Schizosaccharomyces pombe: one gene and its partners. The gene in region 1 interacts genetically with each later gene. Each region holds a gene or a part of one and is shown in the gene's direction. Other genes may lie near its edges.

The links. Genes that interact genetically often act in the same process or in processes that back each other up.
Region 2: of cfr1 (region 1) and sst4, changing one enhances a phenotype caused by changing the other (phenotypic enhancement), as found in Schizosaccharomyces pombe (one study listed by BioGRID).
Region 3: mutations in cfr1 (region 1) and gga22 impair growth when combined (synthetic growth defect), as found in Schizosaccharomyces pombe (one study listed by BioGRID).

What each region holds. Positions count from the first base shown.
Region 1 is NC_003424.3:3,266,248-3,275,244, forward strand, and holds cfr1 (CHS5-like protein Cfr1), read left to right. Parts: upstream 1-3,949; 5' UTR 3,950-3,987; coding exon 3,988-5,850; 3' UTR 5,851-5,902; coding exon of another isoform or gene 5,903-6,018; 3' UTR 6,019-6,120; downstream 6,121-8,997. Other genes in the region: helicase Sen1, read right to left, coding at 1-1,278; syb1 (synaptobrevin family receptor), read left to right, coding at 2,064-2,265, 2,330-2,493; bouquet formation protein Bqt1, read right to left, coding at 5,903-6,018, 6,170-6,452; puf4 (RNA-binding protein), read left to right, coding at 7,888-8,997. UniProt on the Schizosaccharomyces pombe protein: Required for cell fusion, independently of fus1. Appears to have a role in transporting proteins that are involved in mating. May act as a scaffold to retain cell fusion proteins in the cisternae of the Golgi.
Region 2 is NC_003424.3:2,474,089-2,480,531, forward strand, and holds sst4 (ESCRT 0 complex subunit sst4), read left to right. Parts: upstream 1-3,782; 5' UTR 3,783-4,030; coding exon 4,031-5,863; 3' UTR 5,864-5,943; downstream 5,944-6,443. Other genes in the region: U3 snoRNP-associated protein Imp4, read left to right, coding at 629-1,498; pbr1 (putative dehydrogenase), read right to left, coding at 1,878-3,008; C-22 sterol desaturase Erg5, read right to left, coding at 6,059-6,443.
Region 3 is NC_003423.3:3,242,838-3,249,232, forward strand, and holds gga22 (adaptin), read left to right. Parts: upstream 1-3,704; 5' UTR 3,705-3,746; coding exon 3,747-3,783; intron 3,784-3,820; coding exon 3,821-3,908; intron 3,909-3,961; coding exon 3,962-4,037; intron 4,038-4,287; coding exon 4,288-4,525; exon of another isoform or gene 4,526-4,581; coding exon 4,582-5,552; intron 5,553-5,595; coding exon 5,596-5,787; 3' UTR 5,788-5,895; downstream 5,896-6,395. Other genes in the region: transcription factor TFIIH associated cyclin-dependent protein kinase Mcs6, read left to right, coding at 592-1,599; rps401 (40S ribosomal protein eS4), read left to right, coding at 2,306-3,094; tsr401 (20S rRNA accumulation protein 4), read right to left, coding at 5,975-6,395.

The sequences.
Region 1 (8,997 bases):
AGGATCGAAAACAAATGAGGGATTTTTAGTGATTGCCTTATGAGACCAACTTATAAATGCAATGTCATAAAGTAAAGAGTGCAATCTGAGTTTCAGCATGTACTCCGGATAATCTTGTAAAATAGTGATGCTATTAGCATTCATCAACGATAGTGTATTGTTAAGAAATGAAGGAGAGCTGTAATCTAGCGATAATAGATCAAATAACGCATCCAAAACCGAATAAATGATGAAACCTATAGTACGCTTCTCTTCTACAAATCCTTTAAGCCATTCCGGAAAAACACTAACAAAGTCATTTAAACATGTGCGAAAAAATGAAGCAATAATGTAAGCCCAGTTCATGTCAGATACTTCAAAAGGTGTAGCTGTAACATTTTTTAGCAAGTTTTTTAAGAAAGAAGACACTTCCTTAAATGAATCAGCGGCAGACCAAAAGGATGAGGAATTGCAGCAAATTCGAAGACAGGACATTTGTTGAGAGGATAGAGATTCAGAAGTCTTTACCAAATTTAAAAGATAATCTTTTAAAATGGACTCACATGCAGCAGTAATGGATTGTAAAGGAAGAAGTTCTAAAAACATGTAAGTACGTTCCCAAAATTCAGGACTACTTATAGACACGAAATTACAATCACTGTCAGAGGAATTTTGACTTTCAAACACTACAGTATTAAAAACGGCGTCAACTGTAGCAGAAGAAATTCTTATTTCAGTATTTTCCTTAAAAAAGCTATGAACCCATTCCAAAACATCGGGATGGGAAGCTTCATAGAAAAATAGTAAATAACCAGGAAGAAATATATTAGAACACCAATCTGAAAGTAGACCATTAAATGCATCTATTGCATTTTTATAAATATTTTTACAGGTAAACAATTTAGGATTCAAGAGGGTTTCGAAAATTAAGCAAGGCAAAGACGTGAAGTCAATTGTTTCATCCTCCAGGGCCTTGAAGTCCTCTAAGACACGGATAATATCCCATTTATTCCACTTTTCCTGTAAATCGGTAATTGAAAACCCAGTAAAAGAATATGAACCTTTCGCAAGGGATTCATTTCGAAGTTCATAATAAGCTTGTATACAAGAAGTACAAGAGCGTAAACGCTCATGATAGGCATTTAATACCCATTTAAAGCTCGGAGTTTCATCATGTGCAAACCAAAAGAAGGTAGGTTGTATATACTGAGTCAGTAGTCCTGAGCAAAACCAATGCTGACCCTCTTTACTAGACGATAATTTTTCAAAACAATCTTGATCGCTAAGATTCTCCGCCATTTGTAACAATCAAATTTAATATTTTTTTAATGTTATGAAGTAAATAATATTTTTTTTGGAAATTTCAACCTGTTTTTCTGATAAAAGAGTGAAAACAAAAAAACAAACAAAAGAAATGTAGGTAAGTGAGTATTGTCTCTTTTTTAAAGACTTTTTTCTAATAAATGTATGATTAAATGGACCCAAATAAACGTTGTTTCACCGATAGACCAAAAACCCAGGAAAAATCTAATATTGCAAGTGCCAAAACCAAAACCCTAATCCAGACGTAAATCGTAACGTAAATAAAATTTTATTTACAAAAGATCTCAAGAATAAAATAACAAATAACGTTTCGGACGCTACAGCGATGAGAGGAGACCTTTTAACACTATGTGAAAGTTAAAACTTTCATAAAAATTTCATAACTCAAGGAAATTTAGAAGAAGAAATATATTGTTATGAACAGCTCAAATCGCCAAGAAACAAGACGTGTTTCCAAATCTCTATTCCAAAGGGCGTAGTTGGTTCCTCCCAAATTCACCAATACTAAGGATTTGTTTACGTTATTTACTATGAGGGTACAGCTAGTTACATGTTTCTTATTGTAAAAAGGCAAGAAGTAATTTTATTACTTTATTTTATTTTTTTTCTTTAATTTATATAAGTATAATCACAAAACTGCTTTGCAACCCAACATTACAAAGCCAGATGTTTAACGCAATGGAAAGAGGATTAACGAATTGGTACACATCAACTCCAACCGAGCGCAAAAATAAATCCTCCACCAACTAACACATACGACCATGTCTGAGCCATATGACCCATATATCCCGGCGGAGCCTTCTGCAGCTGTTCGTAGTGGAAATGCTGCTGCTTCGTCGACGCCGAATATGAAGACAGCTGCAATTCAGCAGCAGATTGACGATACTGTGGGGATTATGCGTGAAAACATTTCTAAGGTTTCAGAACGTGGAGAACGCCTTGATTCTTTACAAGATAAAACAGGTATGATATTTATTTTTGTTAACAGTTAAATTTTTTTTTTGAACGTTTAGCTAACTTCTTTAAGATAACCTTGCTGTTAGCGCGCAAGGCTTCCGTCGTGGCGCCAATCGTGTTCGCAAGAAGATGTGGTGGAAGGACATGCGTATGCGTCTTTGCATTATCATTGGTATCATCATTTTACTTGTTGTCATTATTGTTCCTATCGCAACAAAATTTCATGGCAAGTAAGAAGATGTATCATGTAGCTTAGTCGCATGCCGAGTCAAAATATTTGCTGTTTGAATACTTTTTTTTCAAGCGTATTTTTGTCTCTGGTTTTTTTCTTCCTTCTCTCTTTCTTTCTCTCTTGCCTGACACAACAACCTATAAATCGAATTTTAAGAAAAAAGCTTCTGATGTAGACAGGGCCACTTTTTTTGCAAAGAGATAACGCATTTTTTCTCAAGATCCTTTATTCGTTTTTATTTTTCTTGCATATACATACTTGATGACTGACGGGTCAATGATAGTGAATACCAGGTTGGTTTTTTGTTGAGCAATTTGGTTTTGGCCTGTATTGCTTTTTCCTCTTTTCTTCTTTCTACACCTCACCATACATATCATGGGCCTTGCTTGCTTGACAAAGGAAATCTTTATGGATACAAAATTATCATTACTTTCCGTACTTAAGATGGTAAATAGAATTTTTGTTTCCTTCTCGGTATTTCTTTTCTATTCCGCTCTTTATATGGATAACCCTATAGCATAAAGATGGATAATGTTTTAATGTATACAGATTAGCCTCGATATTCCATTTGTCTACGGCTTTTTTCTAATTCTTCAAAAGTACTTAGTACGGGAGCAAATTTGTTATCTTATTTTCATATTTTTCCTTTAGAAGCTAGCTTCTTTTTATACTGATTATTGCACTGATAGGTGTATTAAAAAACCACTATTCTTAATTAATTTTATAGAGTGAAATGTGTAAACCTGATAATTAGGAAATATTTTTTAAGTTTGCTCACACGTGGTTTTATATCCAGATTAACAATTGTATTATTTTTCGACTTCTATTTTGCTCAACAGATATTGTGGTCTAATCCTTCATTCGTGTAGTATTTTAAATTTTGAATGCAGCACGGTTTACGAATTAAGATATATTCATCAACTGGGTTCAACAGTACTGCATTTGTTTTTGTTTACTATCAATGTAACTTAACGTAATTTAGAATTTAATTGTATCAGAAAGTAGTATATTTGCTCCCCTTAAAATGCTTTAGTCTGAAGAATAGATAATAATAGCCCAATATTTTAATAATTTAGATGATTGAAAAAATCAACAGATTTTTTTGTAATATTGTTTGTATGAATTCTCGTTGAAATATAATAATAAACTACATATATTAAATCGTTCACTTTTACTGAGTGATTGAATTAAATATATCTTCAAATATTTGTATATAATTTTAATAAATTGTAATTGTCTTCCTTACTAGAATTACGCTTATAATGATACTAACCAGAAAATTTAAAAAATATATAAGTTTGATATGTAAATAGATTGTGAAAAACCAGGGAATCACAACAACTCTTGATATTTATCAAAACAAAGATGATTATAACCTACATTTTTACTACGGTTCCTTAGGTAACAAGTGCTACCTATAGTTAGAAGTGTAAGAGTGCTGGTTAAGGTAAACACTCCACCACAACCAAAGGGGATTATCAATAATAGCATCTAAAATGGATGATACAAATCAATTTATGGTGTCTGTGGCCAAAATAGATGCGGGAATGGCCATCTTATTGACACCTTCATTTCATATTATAGAATTTCCATCCGTGTTGCTGCCGAATGACGCGACTGCAGGCTCTATAATCGATATCTCTGTGCATCACAATAAAGAGGAAGAGATAGCAAGAGAAACTGCATTCGATGATGTTCAAAAAGAAATTTTTGAAACATATGGCCAAAAATTGCCGTCTCCTCCTGTTCTTAAGTTAAAGAATGCTACTCAGACTAGCATTGTATTGGAATGGGATCCTTTACAACTCTCCACTGCGAGACTCAAAAGCCTTTGCTTGTACCGTAATAATGTTCGAGTGCTTAACATATCTAATCCCATGACTACTCACAATGCCAAGCTGAGTGGCTTATCTCTCGATACAGAATACGATTTTTCCCTTGTTTTGGATACGACTGCGGGAACATTTCCCAGCAAACACATTACCATCAAAACGTTAAGAATGATAGATCTCACAGGAATTCAAGTGTGTGTTGGCAACATGGTTCCCAATGAGATGGAGGCTTTACAAAAGTGTATTGAACGCATTCACGCTAGACCAATTCAAACTAGCGTTCGTATCGATACAACTCATTTTATCTGCTCTTCTACTGGGGGTCCTGAGTACGAAAAGGCAAAAGCTGCCAATATCCCTATTTTAGGTTTGGATTATTTGTTGAAATGCGAATCTGAAGGACGTTTGGTGAACGTTAGTGGTTTTTACATCGAAAATCGCGCTTCTTACAATGCTAACGCTTCTATTAATTCTGTAGAAGCTGCGCAAAATGCTGCACCAAATCTCAATGCTACAACCGAACAACCGAAGAATACCGCTGAAGTTGCTCAAGGTGCTGCATCAGCTAAAGCTCCACAGCAAACAACCCAACAGGGAACTCAAAATAGTGCAAATGCTGAGCCATCTAGTTCAGCTTCTGTTCCGGCTGAAGCGCCTGAAACTGAGGCTGAGCAATCAATCGATGTTTCCAGCGACATTGGTTTACGAAGTGATTCTAGTAAGCCCAATGAAGCTCCAACTTCTTCGGAAAACATCAAAGCGGATCAGCCAGAAAATTCTACAAAGCAGGAAAATCCCGAAGAGGATATGCAAATAAAGGATGCTGAGGAACATTCGAATCTGGAAAGTACACCTGCTGCCCAGCAAACTTCCGAAGTTGAAGCTAACAATCATCAAGAAAAACCATCTTCTTTGCCAGCCGTTGAGCAGATTAACGTGAACGAAGAAAACAATACCCCGGAGACTGAAGGACTTGAAGATGAAAAAGAAGAAAATAATACAGCCGCTGAATCTTTAATCAATCAAGAAGAAACTACCTCCGGTGAAGCAGTTACAAAGAGTACTGTTGAATCCTCAGCGAATGAGGAAGAAGCTGAACCTAACGAAATAATTGAAGAGAACGCTGTTAAATCTTTATTGAATCAAGAAGGACCTGCAACTAACGAAGAGGTTGAAAAAAACAATGCTAATTCTGAAAATGCGAATGGCTTGACAGATGAGAAAATAATCGAAGCCCCTTTAGATACTAAGGAAAATTCAGACGATGATAAGCCATCTCCCGCAGCAGCTGAAGATATTGGTACTAACGGTGCAATTGAGGAAATCCCTCAAGTTTCTGAAGTCTTAGAGCCAGAAAAAGCGCATACTACTAACTTGCAACTGAATGCGCTCGATAAAGAAGAAGATCTAAATATTACTACAGTTAAGCAAAGTTCGGAACCTACGGCTGATGACAATCTAATACCCAACAAAGAAGCAGAAATTATACAATCTTCTGACGAGTTTGAAAGTGTAAACATTGATTAATGACATTGATCTCTTGTATTCTGCAGTCTTTTTTTTTTCTTATGTTTATATGTTAACATTCTACGAATATCCTCCACTTTTCCAATCGTTTGACTAAAGGCACATGGGAACCATTTTGAACTGTAATGCTCTGGTATCCTTGCAGTCTTCTAGACCATGGAAGTACATCTAAACTCATTTAGCATTAGTAAATATATAGCTTCGGATTTTTTTTTCGTTCTCTAATAAATTTTTTTTTTTAAATTAAATCAACTAGGTCAAAAATGGGTAATGGGAGGTTTTGAAATTATGTTTCATTATACTGATAGACAGAACTTACAATATCGTAGTTTGAAATTCGTGCTGGCGTCTTCTTCCATATGTATCAATGATTCTTTATTTTGACCTTGGCAAAGCAAAGCGAATTGCCATATATTCGGAAATATCGAGTATAAATATTCTATCCTTTCAATTGAAACTTGAATAAGGCTGTGTTTTAAAAATCTAGCATGCTCACAGTTTGAATCAGTGCATACAGGTGTTTGAGTATAAATCGCGATTTGGGTTAAATATTCTACTTTGTTTTGTTCAAAAGAAATAAGCGTCGTAGTTAATAAATGCATTTTGTTTAAATCAGTATCATTTAGGATGGGTGAAAGGATTTTTTTTTAAAACGCGTCGTTTGTAGAAGAAGAGGTGCATAAAATATGAACACACCACATATAATAATAAGAGGATAGACATTAAAGCCAACAACCTATTAAAAGTGTAAATTTGAAATCAAAAAAGATTAAAAAAAAGAATAGGAATCGACTTCTTTTACACAAAGAAATCCACACCTATTTGATATTAGCTTGGACATCCTCTATTGACGACTGCATTTTCTGATAGCACAAACAAGACTTTTTCAGACTTAAATGAAAATTAAATAAACCAACAGTGGGTTTTTTAGGGAAACCTAAAAATTCAGAGAATCTTAAGCAAGTTCTCTGTTTTGCTTTACATAACAATCTTTAACGCCCACAACGTTGTAAAGATATCACCTATAAAAATAAAAAAATTACGCTTTTGAGGAATAGATGTGCTTTTTTATACATATGTTTATTCAAAATACAGCTCACTGTCTTAATCTGCTAAAGTAGTAGACCTTGTTTACCTATCATCTTTAGAGTGCATTAAGCAGTTGTTAAGCGAAAATTGCGTCATCTATTAGTGAGCCTCTGTTTACAAGTTGACGGCTGTTTATGAGTTTTGAAGAAGGAATCCAAAAATAAATTTGATTTTCACTGAAAATCTATGAAATAAATATGTAGCGACTAATCATACACAACAATTGTATCAAGTTGCCGACATAAAAATACCAGCTGGCTCAACCTTTATAGATACTTTTGAAGAGCTCTTATAAGCATTAATTAATGTTCGAATGATGTAGTTATTGCTTAAAAAAAAGAACCGCCTGGCGTTATTCTCGAGTAAAAGTAAAATCAACATGTGCAACGAAGGAATGGATGCACTGACTGCCGTCAATTTCTCTCAGCCGTCCTCCCAATAAAAATCATTAAGACATGTTATTAAAAACATTAAAAGGCATACCAACGGGTGTTGTATCTTACAAATCACCTCATGGGATCTGTTTTTTGTCAAACTACGGCATTACGCCTTACAAGAAAAAATGTAGAGAGTGAAACGAAACTGAATTGGGATGATTCTTAGCATTTAAAAAAATTGTTTTTGTCTTCGAAGCACAAATTTCACATTTTCTCTTTTTTTTCAAATCCTTCCTGCTTCTTCCTTAGTAAGTTGCGTTACCCGTAGTGTTACCTGCTGTCGGTACAATACATCTCACAGTAAGCATGGTTTCCACTCCACACACTGTACAGTCGCCTGCTTAAAGTAAAGTAGAGGTTGTGTTTTTTGTGTTGTATCGTTCTTCTCTACATCTTTTTGTTTGTATCGGGACAGGAAATAGTTTGGGAAAAATCCCCCACTAAGAACAATTTATCCCACGGACTGTTAATATATGACAACAGGTAATCCTTCGCAAAACATAAGCGTAGCATGACCGAGCAGTCTTCTAAATCTCATCCATCCTTTATGTCTACAGAATATTCGCTTCCAGTCTTTTCTTCACAGTACTCTGATATTGAGAATAAAGATGTATTGAAATCGAATTCTTGGGATCCATATGCCGCTAATGCGCCGATTGCTTTGTCTGAGATCCCTTCATCTTCTAAATCCGGAAAAACAAATGGTTCAAAAGCCGCTGTGGAAAGCGGTTTGGCATCCGGCGCTTTCGGAAACCGTACTGGGAACATGAACCGGAATACTAGCATGAGTGGATACACGTTCGGATCTTCGAATTTCGTTCCCTATAACCTTCTTTCTAACACTCCTTCTTTCACTACTTCTCACTCTTCATCAACAACTTTTGTTCCGCCTGCGACTATGGGCGGTGGATTGAATAATTTGTCATCTCCATCTTCTTCTTTATACTTGCCTGGCTCTGCTTCATACCAAAGAAGTAACTCTAAAAATAGCTCGGCTTCTATCTTACAAATGAATACGACGTTAGATGACATCCCCATACTTTTACGTCGTCCTGGATTGTCTTCGTACACGCCCGGACCTTCTACTTCTCGCCGAAGCATCTCTTCGTCGTCGAATCTTGGAGGTAATCCTGGCTTGATCGCCAATAATCCTTCGGCTTCTAAAAACTTTGCCTTTACTTCAGGTTCTTCGTCGACTAATAATTCTACTACTTCTTCTTCATCAATGGCCAATGGTCTGCAATCTATTTCAAAGCATTCAGCGGCCTTCCCTCTACTTTCTAATGCCACTTCTTTCTTTGGTGAAAATTTAACTCCGTCTTTGGCTGCCTCAACGGCCAGTACGGGCAGTACTGACAGCTCTGGCTCAAATATCGCTAACACACTCATTGCTCCGACACCGACTATTTCTCCTCCTTCGGCTAATACTGTAGGAAATCCGAGTCCTGCTGATACCCCTGGGTTTAACGTGCCTAGTTTGATATCCGATGACCCTAGCGTGTCTTCCTCTCTCTCTTCTTCGGTTGCATCTCTTTCATTGCAAAATAGCAATATTCTTTCGTTCTGTAAGGATCAACATGGCTGTCGTTATTTACAGCGACTTCTAGAAAAGAAAAATCAA
Region 2 (6,443 bases), 790 kb from region 1:
TTGTAAGTGTAATTTTATTTAAAAGTCTAAACTTATGATCATATTAAAATACGCACATTTCGTATATATACGTGCTCAGTTGATTAGTGAAGACGAACATATAAATGATGAACGCTATAGAACAAAAAGTATTAAACTGAGACAAGTGTTTGCTACACAGTTTGGTATCCGATTTAAGGATACGTAGAACTGCGGTGAGTTTTCCTTGTGGTCTATTATATTACAATACACAGGTTGTATAAGTAGCAACTGAGTATAGGTATTGTATTAACTGGGTTATAATGTTACCTATCACTAATATAGCTCATAACTGAACTGAGGAACGAGGTTCAGCAGTAGCTCTATTTATAGTATTCAGATAATATTGATCTTAATAGATTATCATTAAGATCAATCTCCATATCGTATCATACATGGTACGATATATAATTAGAACATGTGACATATAGTGATACGCAACGTAGTGTATCATAGCGTAGTGTAGTATTGCTGACATTAGTTCGCGACCTATCCCCATGCAAAAAATATTTTCGGCATTAGTGTTAAGAACGAGGTGCATACAACTTTCGCATTGCAAACAGCTAGTTGCATACTGCAAGTGTAATTTTTTTTAATTTAATAATTTAAGATGCTTCGTCGTGCTGTTAGGGAAAGAAGACAGTTCATTTATAAGAGAAATCAAGAACTTCAAGAAGCAAAACTCAATGAAAAACGACGTGCATTAAGAAAAGCATTGGAAGGTAACAAAGAATTGAACAAAGATTTGCAGGAAGACAGTCAACTTCAAAAGGATTATAAATATGATGAAAGCAGAGCAACTCAAGAAGAGACAGAAACCAACCTTGACGATGAGTACCACCGTCTGGGTGAGAGGGAGCCAAAAGTTTTAGTTACCACCAGTCGAGAGCCCTCATCTCGTCTAGCGCAATTTGCAAAAGAAGTACGTCTCTTGATTCCCAACTCATATCGACTCAATCGTGGTAATATCGTTGTCGGAAGCTTGGTAGAAGCCGCTCGTGCCAATGATATTACCGATATAGTCATTTTGCACGAACACAGAGGTATCCCTGATGGTCTTGTAATTTCTCATCTTCCTTATGGTCCTACCTTGTCATTTTCTTTACATAACGTGGTTCTTCGTCATGATATCCCTAATACTGGTACCATGTCAGAAGCGTATCCACATCTTATTTTTGAAAATTTGACTTCAAAGTTGGGAAAGCGCGTTAAAACAGCTCTTTCTGCTTTATTTCCTCCAGACCCTAAAGATACTACACCACGTGTGGTTACATTTGCTAACACTGATGATTATATCAGTTTCCGTCACCACATTTACGCCAAAACAGGCCCAAAGCAGATTATTCTATCTGAGGCTGGTCCTCGCTTTGAGATGAAACTATTTGAAATTACCCTCGGCACCGTTGATATGGTAGACGCTGATGTGGAATGGAAATTGAAGCCTTACCAGCGTCACAAACGTGATGTTTTAGCTGAATGAGCGTAGGTATGATGGGTATGGTCAAACGGTTATTTTAGGTTCATTTGGGATACAGGTAAATAATTACAATTCTTTTATGTATAGGCAAGGCCATTAGAGTGAATGGTATCTTTGATAAATAAGGAGGCAAAACTTTCTAGTATTAGTGGTTAATGGTTATACTATTCAAAACATTAGTGAAGTAGAACATATATCAGTAGCGATTGTACTTGGGTTCCTTTTTTATATTTTAATTAGTTTACTTGAGCAATGTTTATGTACAGCTTAAAGTTTAAGCACTGTATTTGTCTTTTTAAAAATACCAACCTTTTAACTTCGGACCTACGTTATTATGGTGAATATTCCAACCAAATGACATTCCATATTTTTCGCTAAACTTCTATTTTTTTGATTTCTTGATTTTCTTCTTCTTGTATTGCTTTTCAACTTCATCAATTTGGGCATCGGCAGCTTTTATTAGTTTTTCAGCAAATTCCGGATCGGTAATTTCTTTGCGTGAATATTCAACTATCGAACATTCATTTACAAGGACGGGTTGAGTAATCGAAGCAAATTCGGGACTGCAAATAGCATGAAAAAATGATTGAGCACCATGAATAGTACCTTTCAGAAGAAGCCACCAAAACGGCCAAAGTAACAAATAAAGAAATAATCCCCAAACCTTTCCAAAGGATACAACTCTTCGAAATCCTGGAGTTCGAACGACACCTGGATTTGCCATGATGGTATGTAAATTACACGGCATTTTGTCAGGTCGTTCATGAGCTTCAGCTTTTTTCTGAAAATCATAAAGATAAGTCATCAAGGCAAGTTTGGCATTTCCCACTACCTTCCAGGGACTTTTTCGAGGATATGGATGATTAGATAAATCAAGATCGTTGAAATCTATATTACCTAAAATATATGATGAACAGGTAGCTGCAACAATTCGTACTTCCCTGTGCCCGGGCTGACCATATATAACTGGGCGGAGAATCCTAAGTAGCTGGTATGGACCTAAGAAATTTGTAGCCCATTGCAACTCAACACCTTCCTCGGTAGTTTGCCTATCCATAAATGGAGGCAGTAAAACTCCACTGCACAAAACTATCATATCCAGCCTACGAATAGGAGTGCAATCAATCCACTTTGTAGCGAACTTCCTAACAGATAACATAGAGCTCAAGTCACAGACTTCAGTATAAATTAGTTGGTTTTTTGTACGCTTTCTAAGGTCCATTATGTAATCTACAGTAAATTGATCTGGCTCTGTACGAAGTAGAATAACAACTTGAGCTCCCAGAGAAGCTAATTTCTCTACGACAACTTGTCCTATTCCAGAACTTCCCCCAGTGACCATGACTACCATTCCGTTCATTTTACGCTCCCAAGTTGTTGTTCGTCCAGAAGTCCAGAATTTAAAGGCCGCAATTGTTGAAACCGCAATCGCAGCCTTTGTATATTGAGCCCAATGTGTAATTAGATGCTCATACTTAAATTGTGCTATGTGAGCAATAATTGGAATAGGCATATTTCGTTGATTTACAAAATCTGTTGATGGAGTTGGCAAAAGGCAGCTACATACCACTGACATTGAGGTATACTAAACTCGTCTTCATATTTAATTCTTAACAATCAAAAATTTAAAACTTTTTTTTATACAATTGTTTTAACTTTAGATGGATTTAATTGTACAATTATTTAATCGCTTGACTGCTAGTGCATATTACTAATAGCAACTAGCTCCATAAATTTGACAAAGATAGGATTGAATTGTTTTTGTATATATACATAATGTAATTTATGGACCGTAAAACAGATTGCTTACAAATTGGAAAGTAAAATAGACTGTTTATATGATATATATGTGAAATTTGAAGATATACTAAATACTTGTTTTAACATAGGAAAATTAAGTATGTGTATACTACAACATTTGACATATTATTTTTTATAATATTTCAAGAAACACTGTGATAGTATATAATTCGCATAGCAAATATAAATTATTACGGTCTGTCTTATTAGCACCTACCAGAAGTACAGCACTCAATGGTGAGGTATCGTTTTCCTTCTTTGCTTATTTATGGTACCTTCAAAAAGGCTGAAACTACATTGCACGCTTTAGCTTGATCTACCTAATGAGTCTATAAACATCATCGATATTTACGACAATTAGTGTTCTCTCAATACTTGCTTTACTATATTTGCCGCTCTGCACTATCAACCGTTATACCGAGATGTGCTAAGCTGCCCGCACTATTACTTAGCAAGTTTGAGCCACGAACAATCTGTTATTGCTGTCGAGAACCAAACTCTTTCTCAAATTGAATTTTATTGGAAAGGAGGATTTACAATACATTATTTTGCCATAATTTCAAACAATCAGAAGAATTGTGCCAAAGTTGTTATACTTCACCTGCTGCTTTTGTTTATTAGGAATTTTTGAAGGCCATTGGTTATTTGTTTGGTGACAATTTAGCTTACAAATAATAAAAAGATTTCTTTTGTTTCTTAATTTCGGTTTTTCTTTTCTTCTCTATTTTCATAACGATGTCTCGGTGGTGGAATTCCAATTCTCAGTTTGCTTCCGACATAGAAAAGGCTACATCGGAAACGCTTCCTGCTGGCTCTGAAGAAATTTCATTATATTTAGAAATTTCTGATCAAATACGTAGTAAGTCTGTTGATCCGAAATTTGCTATGCGTATTCTTAAATCCCGAATTGATCATTCGAATCCGAATGTTCAAATAATGGCATTGAAGTTGACAGATACCTGCGTTAAAAATGGGGGTTCCGGTTTTTTATTGGAAATAGCTTCTAGAGAGTTTATGGATAATTTGGTATCTATTCTACGATCTCCTGCAGGAATAGACGAAGACGTTAAAATGGTCATTTTACGATACATTCAGTCTTGGGCTTTGGCAGTTCCAGATACCAATTCTCCACTTAGTTATATTATTCATGTTTATCAAAATTTAAAAGACGGTGATTATGAGTTCCCTGAGCCTTCTCAGAACATTACTAGCAAATTTTTAGATACTGAAACACCGCCCGATTGGACAGATAGTGAAGTTTGTCTTCGTTGTCGTACACCTTTTACATTCACTAATCGTAAACACCATTGTAGAAATTGCGGTGGCGTGTTTTGCAATCAATGTTCTTCAAAAACACTTTCTCTTCCTCACCTTGGAATTAACCAGCCTGTTAGGGTATGCGACAGTTGTTATTCATTACGTACGAAACCCAAAGGTTCCAAATCAAGAGCGCGAAATGAAAGGAAATTCCATGCGAAGACTAGAAAGACACCCTCTAAACCCGTAACTAATAATGAAGACGAAGATATCAAAAGAGCTATTGAGCTTTCCCTCAAAGAAATGCCTCAATCACGAGAACCTCCATCTTATGAAAGACCTTCAGAGGCCAATGTAGTTATTAGTCAAGACCAACATCTTACAGAAGACGAAGATGAAGAGCTTAAACGTGCTATTGCTATCAGCCTTGAGGAAGCACAGAAGTCATCTCAAAAGGATGACAATGTTACGGCACCTAACAATATGAATATTTCTTACCCTAGTGTTCCAGCTCACACCGTTTCAACTGATATTCGATCATCTCCTTTCTCTGGTAGGCCGAGTGATAATCCTTCTACTTTAATTTCTACTGCGGATGCTGATAACATCACTTTATATGCTACTTTGGTGCAAAAGTTAAAAAAGCTACCACCTGGGTCTATTTTTACGGAATATCAGCTACAGGAACTCCACGAAAATATGGGTGTTATGCGAACTCGTATGATGCGATCGCTTGGTGAAACAATGAGTAAATATAACGGGCTAATTCAAGCTTTGCAAAAGCTCCAAACTTGTATGCGATTGAATGATGCTCTAATAGAACAAAGACTTTCATCCACGTATGCACATCATTATATTGATTCTAGCATGGATTCAAACCGATCAATTGAACCTGAGCCGGATGTAATTAGCACTGTGAGGAATAGTTCAACCATTCCCCAGGCTTCGTCTTCTTCTGTCCCGAAAATCGTTGTCGATTCGTCTCCGGTAACAGAAAATCCCCCTAGTCATTCTGATGTGATGGGTCAGAAAGATACTATCTCCAGTTATTACTCGACGGATACAGACGTTTCTGCGAATGTAATGGGAAATCGACACGATGAAGTTGTATTTTCTGACACCGCATCTGGTGAAAAGAATACAAAATTAAATATCGATGAAAGTACCAACTATTATAATACTGATTCAATCGATAAAGTTGGAGAGCCTTTTGACGAAATTTCCTCTGGTTATGATGATTTAATGAATGGCAATGATAAGCAAGGTAATGATATTCCTGAAGTTCAAGAAGCATCTTTAATCGAGCTTTAGGTTTTAAACATCTTATAATACATATTAAATACTTAGATCAATTTATCGACAATGCATGTCTGTTTACGATCCTTTTAATATTTTTTTGTTTTTCAAAATTGATCAATTGTAACCTAAAATTCAGAATGGTGAATACATACGTAAACTAAACTAATAAACGACTATAGACTCCGAACCTGGGTAGTTATTTGTAAATCAAGCGCTCTCAGTCTCCACAGTTGCGGCAGAGACTGCTTCATTTGAAAAAGCCTCCTTGGAGTTTTTCCAGTCAACAGTTGAAGCATCAAAAGGTGAAAATTTGAGGTAACACATATCTTGAGGAAATGTCGTAGCGAAAATCATTTGAGTATCAGAGTCAGGGGTTCTTTTATGTTTCCAATCAAGCATGATACTGGCCTTTCCAATGCAAGCAATTAAATGATTAACGGCATAACGCTGGCCCAAACATACATGAGGACCATTACCAAAAACCATCCAATTCTTAGGACTTTGCTCGGCAAGACCATTTGGTGCCCAGCGGTCAGGATTAAATGTTTCTGGCTCTGGATAAACCTTAGAATCGTGAAGTGCACCATAGAGG
Region 3 (6,395 bases), on another chromosome or scaffold:
CATTCAAGATAAGCCACAGAGCCCCTTACACTGACTCCACACACGATGCTGGTCGATAAACCCCAGACTAATCGAATCTTAAAATTTACCACAAAAGTGACATGCTACCCATCCCTTAGTAGTCACTGTAATTATTGCTACACCAATAATGAACCAAATTTGTGGGTCCTTTCGACCATTCCTGCTTTGTTGAGTCCAAGTCGATGAATTAGCGTTTTACAAGATTACGAAAGCCATGCGGTAACGTTTGCTAAACCGAGAATCCTGAATACATATATTGGTGAATTTCTTCCATCTTAATTTAAAACGTGGGTGTTTGCTTACAAACGTTGGGAGTAGTATAAAGATCAAAAGATTGCGTTGCGAAGTAGTGTGTTAAGTACCTACTTCATTTATATACACATCGAGAAAGCTCTTGTAAAAAGGTTTTCCCTATAAGAAAAAGTCTTGCTGGAATTGTTTGTGTGTTTTTGTTGTATATAGCTTCACTACCATACCATCATACTGCTATACAAACCTGTCCTCAATTTACTTACCACTGTATTCTAAAGTACTCTGTAATTAATAGTATAGGGGTTAAGGTTTCTCGTTATGGATATCGAAAAGTCTGACAAGTGGACGTATGTGAAGGAGCGCAAAGTTGGTGAAGGAACGTATGCCGTCGTGTTCCTGGGTCGCCAAAAAGAAACTAATCGGCGTGTGGCTATTAAAAAGATTAAAGTGGGCCAGTTCAAAGATGGTATCGATATAAGTGCTTTACGAGAGATCAAATTTCTTCGGGAGTCAAGGCACGACAATGTCATCGAGTTAGTTGATGTATTCTCCACAAAGTCCAACCTCAACATCATCTTGGAATTCCTGGACAGTGATTTGGAAATGCTGATCAAAGACAAATTCATCGTTTTTCAACCTGCCCACATCAAATCGTGGATGGTCATGTTGTTACGCGGTTTGCATCACATTCATTCTCGCTTCATCCTTCATCGAGATTTGAAGCCTAATAACCTTTTAATTTCGAGTGACGGTGTCCTAAAATTGGCTGATTTTGGCCTTTCTCGTGATTTTGGCACCCCAAGCCACATGAGTCATCAGGTCATTACACGATGGTACAGGCCTCCAGAGCTATTTATGGGTTGTCGAAGCTATGGCACCGGTGTTGATATGTGGAGTGTAGGCTGCATTTTTGCAGAGTTGATGCTTAGGACCCCGTATTTGCCAGGCGAATCTGATCTGGATCAGCTTAACGTAATTTTCCGCGCTCTTGGAACTCCTGAACCAGAGGTCATTAAAAGCATGCAACAGCTTCCCAACTACGTTGAGATGAAACACATTCCTCCTCCTAACGGTGGTATGGAGGCTCTTTTTTCGGCAGCTGGCCATGAAGAAATTGATTTACTCAAGATGATGTTGGATTACAATCCATATCGTCGTCCCACTGCTCAACAAGCCCTTGAGCATCATTATTTTTCTGCCCTTCCTAAACCCACACATCCTTCTCTTCTCCCACGCAAAGGGGGTGAGGAAGGAATCAAGCACGTCTCTAGTGACCTGCAGCGACAAAACAACTTTCCAATGCGTGCAAATATTAAATTTGTTTAATGATTGATCGTGTGCTAGTATGCACCTTTAACTATATACCATTCTTTTCTCATTCATGTTTCCCTACAGAAAAATTGGAATGATGTGACTGTATGCGGATTTTTCTGTTTAGATAATTGTCATTCTATTTTTTAGACGTTTACTCTACTCGCTGATAATTTCGATATCAACGTTATACGAAAATATCTTCTACTTAGCTTCATTTCCTTGCGGTACTCTTTGAGGTATTATCGCCCATTGCTTAAGAGTTAATGGAAATTGATTGCTTTTTCTAACCATATTTCAGAATTATGGACACTCTTATTTTCATCTGATAATACAATACTCATTCCAACGTTTAATGATTTATGTAAACATGCAATCCATGTTTTTAACATATTTGGTAGTAAAGCTAGAATTATGATGTATTTATAAGATCGTTAAATCTCTTATATATAAGTTTTATACAATATGAATTAATCAATAGACTAGCGAAAGCCTTCTTGTAAATCGTACTCCAGCTTTTCTGGAAAACTGGTACGTCCAAAAACTCATTAAATTATTAACGTGGTACGTTACGGTTTCTAATTTAATTATTAAACGAGCGAGTACTTTGACAGTTAAATAGGCTACTGTGGTGCACTCGGCATCGATATTCTATACAAAGCAGTCACATCTTTTGACACTTGGCCAAAATTTTGGATATTGAATACTGCATCCACCAAAAATGGTTCGAGGTCCTAAAAAGCATTTGAAGCGTGTTGCTGCCCCTCACCACTGGCTTTTGGACAAGCTCTCCGGAACTTACGCTCCAAAGCCTTCTCCAGGTCCTCATAAGGCCCGTGAGTGCCTTCCTTTGATTGTTTTCTTGCGTAACCGTCTTAAATATGCTTTGAACGGACGTGAGGTTAAGGCTATCCTTATGCAACGTCTCATTAAGGTAGATGGAAAGGTTCGTACCGACTCTACTTTCCCTACCGGCTTTATGGATGTGATCTCCGTTGAAAAGACTGGTGAGCACTTCCGCCTTGTCTATGACATTAAGGGCCGTTTCACTGTCCACCGTATTACTGCTGAAGAGGCTAAATACAAGCTTTGCAAGGTCAAGCGTGTTCAATTAGGTGCTAAGGGTGTTCCTTTTCTCGTCACCCATGATGGACGTACTATTCGTTATCCCGATCCATTGATCAAGGTCAACGACACCATAAAACTTAACTTGGAAACCAACAAGATCGAGTCGTTCATTAAATTTGATACTTCCGCTCAAGTTATGGTTACCGGTGGTCGTAACATGGGACGTGTTGGTACCATTGTCCATCGTGAGCACCATCTTGGTTCCTTTGAAATCATTCATGTTAAGGATGCTTTGGACCGTGAGTTTGCTACTCGTCTTTCCAACGTTTTTGTCATTGGCGAGACTGGCAAGAGTTGGATTTCTTTGCCCAAGGGTAAGGGTGTCAAGCTCAGCATTACCGAAGAGCGTGACCGCAGACGTGCTCTCAAGGGACTTGCCTAAATATTATTTTTTCAAAAAGCAAATGCACATTTTGTTATAATATGATGGATGCGTTTTCGTAATTTTGTGTTGATTTTAAGACATGTAACTTTAAACTCATTTTAGATATGTCGCGTGCATAAGTAATAGTAGCATTAATAATTCTTGTAAATCGTTGTGTTGTGTGACCTGTCTTTTTAAAAATTCAATGATGATCTTCGATAATACTTTCGAATTCACCAGTTGGAGAGGTTTGTTAGCTAAAGAATGTGAATAATTTCTTAGTTGGATATGCGTGTTGGTAAAATACTCTAGTTTTCTTATTTGTTACTAAATTTCAAGTCAAACGTAATACAACAAAACAATTTCCTACGAGCGAAAGCGAGGTTAAATTTTTTTCTAGTAGAATTATATTTTTGAAAAAACTAACTGAGAAGAGTCACATTGTTGGCAGGTAAACATCAACAACCAAAAAGGCTACGTGAATAGTGAGCGCTTGGCCGCAAGTTTTATGGTTACTTAAACTCGTATCCTTATTTAGAATAATGACGAAATTGGACGTCTACCATAATACAGAGAGATACGCAATTTTCATAGACTTTAAGCATTGAAGCTGTAGTTGAATATCTTTGATTAAGCCGCTCTGCTGTAACAATTTGGAATTATTGACTTAATGTCTAGCGCTAAAAGAAGACTATACAGTTTAATTCGTAAGAAATTACATTACTTTATAGTTGCTAACTGCAGAAAATGCGACCGAGCCGTACGCTTTTGAACCAGATCTAGCGGTTAATTTGGATATCGCTGATTTGATTAATCAAACTGGCGGAAATTTGTAGGAAATTCACTTATAATATTGATTATACTAACGTGTTTATTATTTTATAGGCCTCGAGAAGCTGCCTTTGCCATTGTTCGTAAGGTCAATGATCGCAATCCAACAGTTGCCTATCTGGCTTTAAATGTATGTTCTGTTTTAATTTTTCACAACTTTGTTTTTCACTTAGAAGTTACTTCGCATTATTTGATATGGTACTGCTTTTATAACTTGTTTATTTTCTGAACGAAACAATCTTAAGTGCTGAACCTTCAGAATTCCAATCTGGTTATTGTGATTTGTATAAAATAGATTTTTGTTAAATTTATTATAAATTTTGCTGAGCCCTTTTTTTTTCACGTTTTTTTCAAATGCCTTTTGTGCTAACATTTTCTAGCTTCTTGATATTTGCGTCAAAAATTGTGGATATGCCTTTCGTTTACAAATTGCTTCTAAAGAATTCTTAAACGAATTAGTAAGAAGATTTCCAGAGCGCCCACCTTCTCGCTTGAACAAAATCCAAGTCATGATTCTTTCTTTAATTGAGGAATGGCGGAAAACCATTTGTCGTGTTGATCGTTATAAAGAAGACCTCGGTTTTATTAGGGATATGCACCGACTTTTATCTTACAAAGGTTTGTATTCAGTTAACTTGAAATCTCGATTATAATTTCCGAGTTAACCACTTTAGGCTATACATTTCCTGAAATCGATAAAGAGAATCTTGCTGTTTTAAGTCAAAAATCTGTTCTAAAAACAGCAGAAGAACTTGAAAAGGAAGACAGAGAAGCTATGTCTGCTAAACTACAGGAACTAATTCGTCGCGGTACTCCGGCAGATTTGGCTGAAGCCAACAAACTTATGAAAGTTATGGCTGGTTACGACACTGAGCAAAAGCAAAAATATAAGGAACATGTTCTCGTAGATTTAGAAAAAGTCAAAAGAAAAGCAGCTCTGTTTGGTGAAATGTTGAATGAAGTTTCTGAATCCGATAAACTAGCCAGTGGTGATTTGTACGATGAGCTGGCCTATTCCTTGAAGGCTGCTCAGCGTAAGGTTGATAAGATATTAGAAGAAATGAGTCCGGAAGATGACTCTTACGTGACTGTTAGCGATTTGAAATCGTTAATCGCATCTTTACTGACCCAATATGACCACTTACTGGAAGGCGATTTTTCATCAGCTCGTACCGTTGCTGCCGATAACAATTCGCTTCTTCAAGCTACTACTGAATCGGCAAAGAGTAATTCCAAAACCTCGGCTAATGCATCTAATACTCAAAGTGCCATGGATTTACTTATCGATTTAGACATAGGATCTGATGCTCAATCTCCTTCTTTACCAGCCTCATCTTCTCAAATGCCTACTTCTTCTTTTAATATGGAAAGTCTTTCGCAAAGTCTTTTGGGTACTGTCGAAGCGCCTGCCGAAGTTGGTGCCATCTCGCTTACTGAATCTTTCAATTCCCCCGTGTCTAATTCATCGCCCAATGTTCCCATTAACAATTTTACTTCTACTTGCGCATTTGAAAACTCTCACTTAAATTTTCAGATAACCCCTAAAAGTAAAACTAGAGATCAAGTAGTTTTACTGGCTACTTACACTAATTTAAGTCCCTATGATACTGTCGAGAATTTACAATCGTTTATTGCAGTTCCCAAGGTATGTTTATTTTTTTTACTGGATATGCTCTAACCTTCAATAGAAATATAATCTTGTACTTCAACCCCAATCTGGAACTAATCTTTCACCTCTCCAGAAAGACGGTATTTACCAGGAAATGATTGTGACTAAGTTACTGGATGTCACAGAACTACCTGTACGGTTTAAACTGACTTACAAGGTAAATGGTAGGTCCCAAGAATACACTGGTCAATCTTCAATTAGGCTACTCTAAAGTTTATCTTTATTATCACTAAGTATATCATTTACACTATCTAAGTAATTTCCTTATACCACTTAACAATTTCGTCGACTATGAAATACATTATGTAACGTAACAGAAGAGAAGCAAATTTTAAGTAACTAAGAATTGCACATTATTTTCCCCAATTTTTTAGTAAGCCTCATTTAAAAGTTGAGCTCTAATCCCACTGAATTCCAACCCATTCTACTGCATAACCAACTCTATCTTTGTTGATCGGAGGATTGCAATCCATCGAACATGTAGCGACCAGTATAGTAGACCATTCTGCTATTTCGTCATTGAGAATGGATATCGCATGTGGCATAAGCTGCATTTCGAATAAACGAGGCGATTTGCAAAGAGGGCACAGCGGCACCGGGCTTTTTCCAAAATTAGTAACAGACTTCAGTTGCTGACCGAGCTTATCTCTACCAGATGCAAGCAGTGGTGTACCACCTCGTTCATAACGTAGACATTGAGTTGGGTTATGGGATATCTTTTCGCTGAATAGTCTAAACGTTTTTTCATACACACTAGGGGATTTCTCATAACTTTCTTTCTCCCAAGCTTCACTGCTGTCATTCAAGTATGGGGTGTAA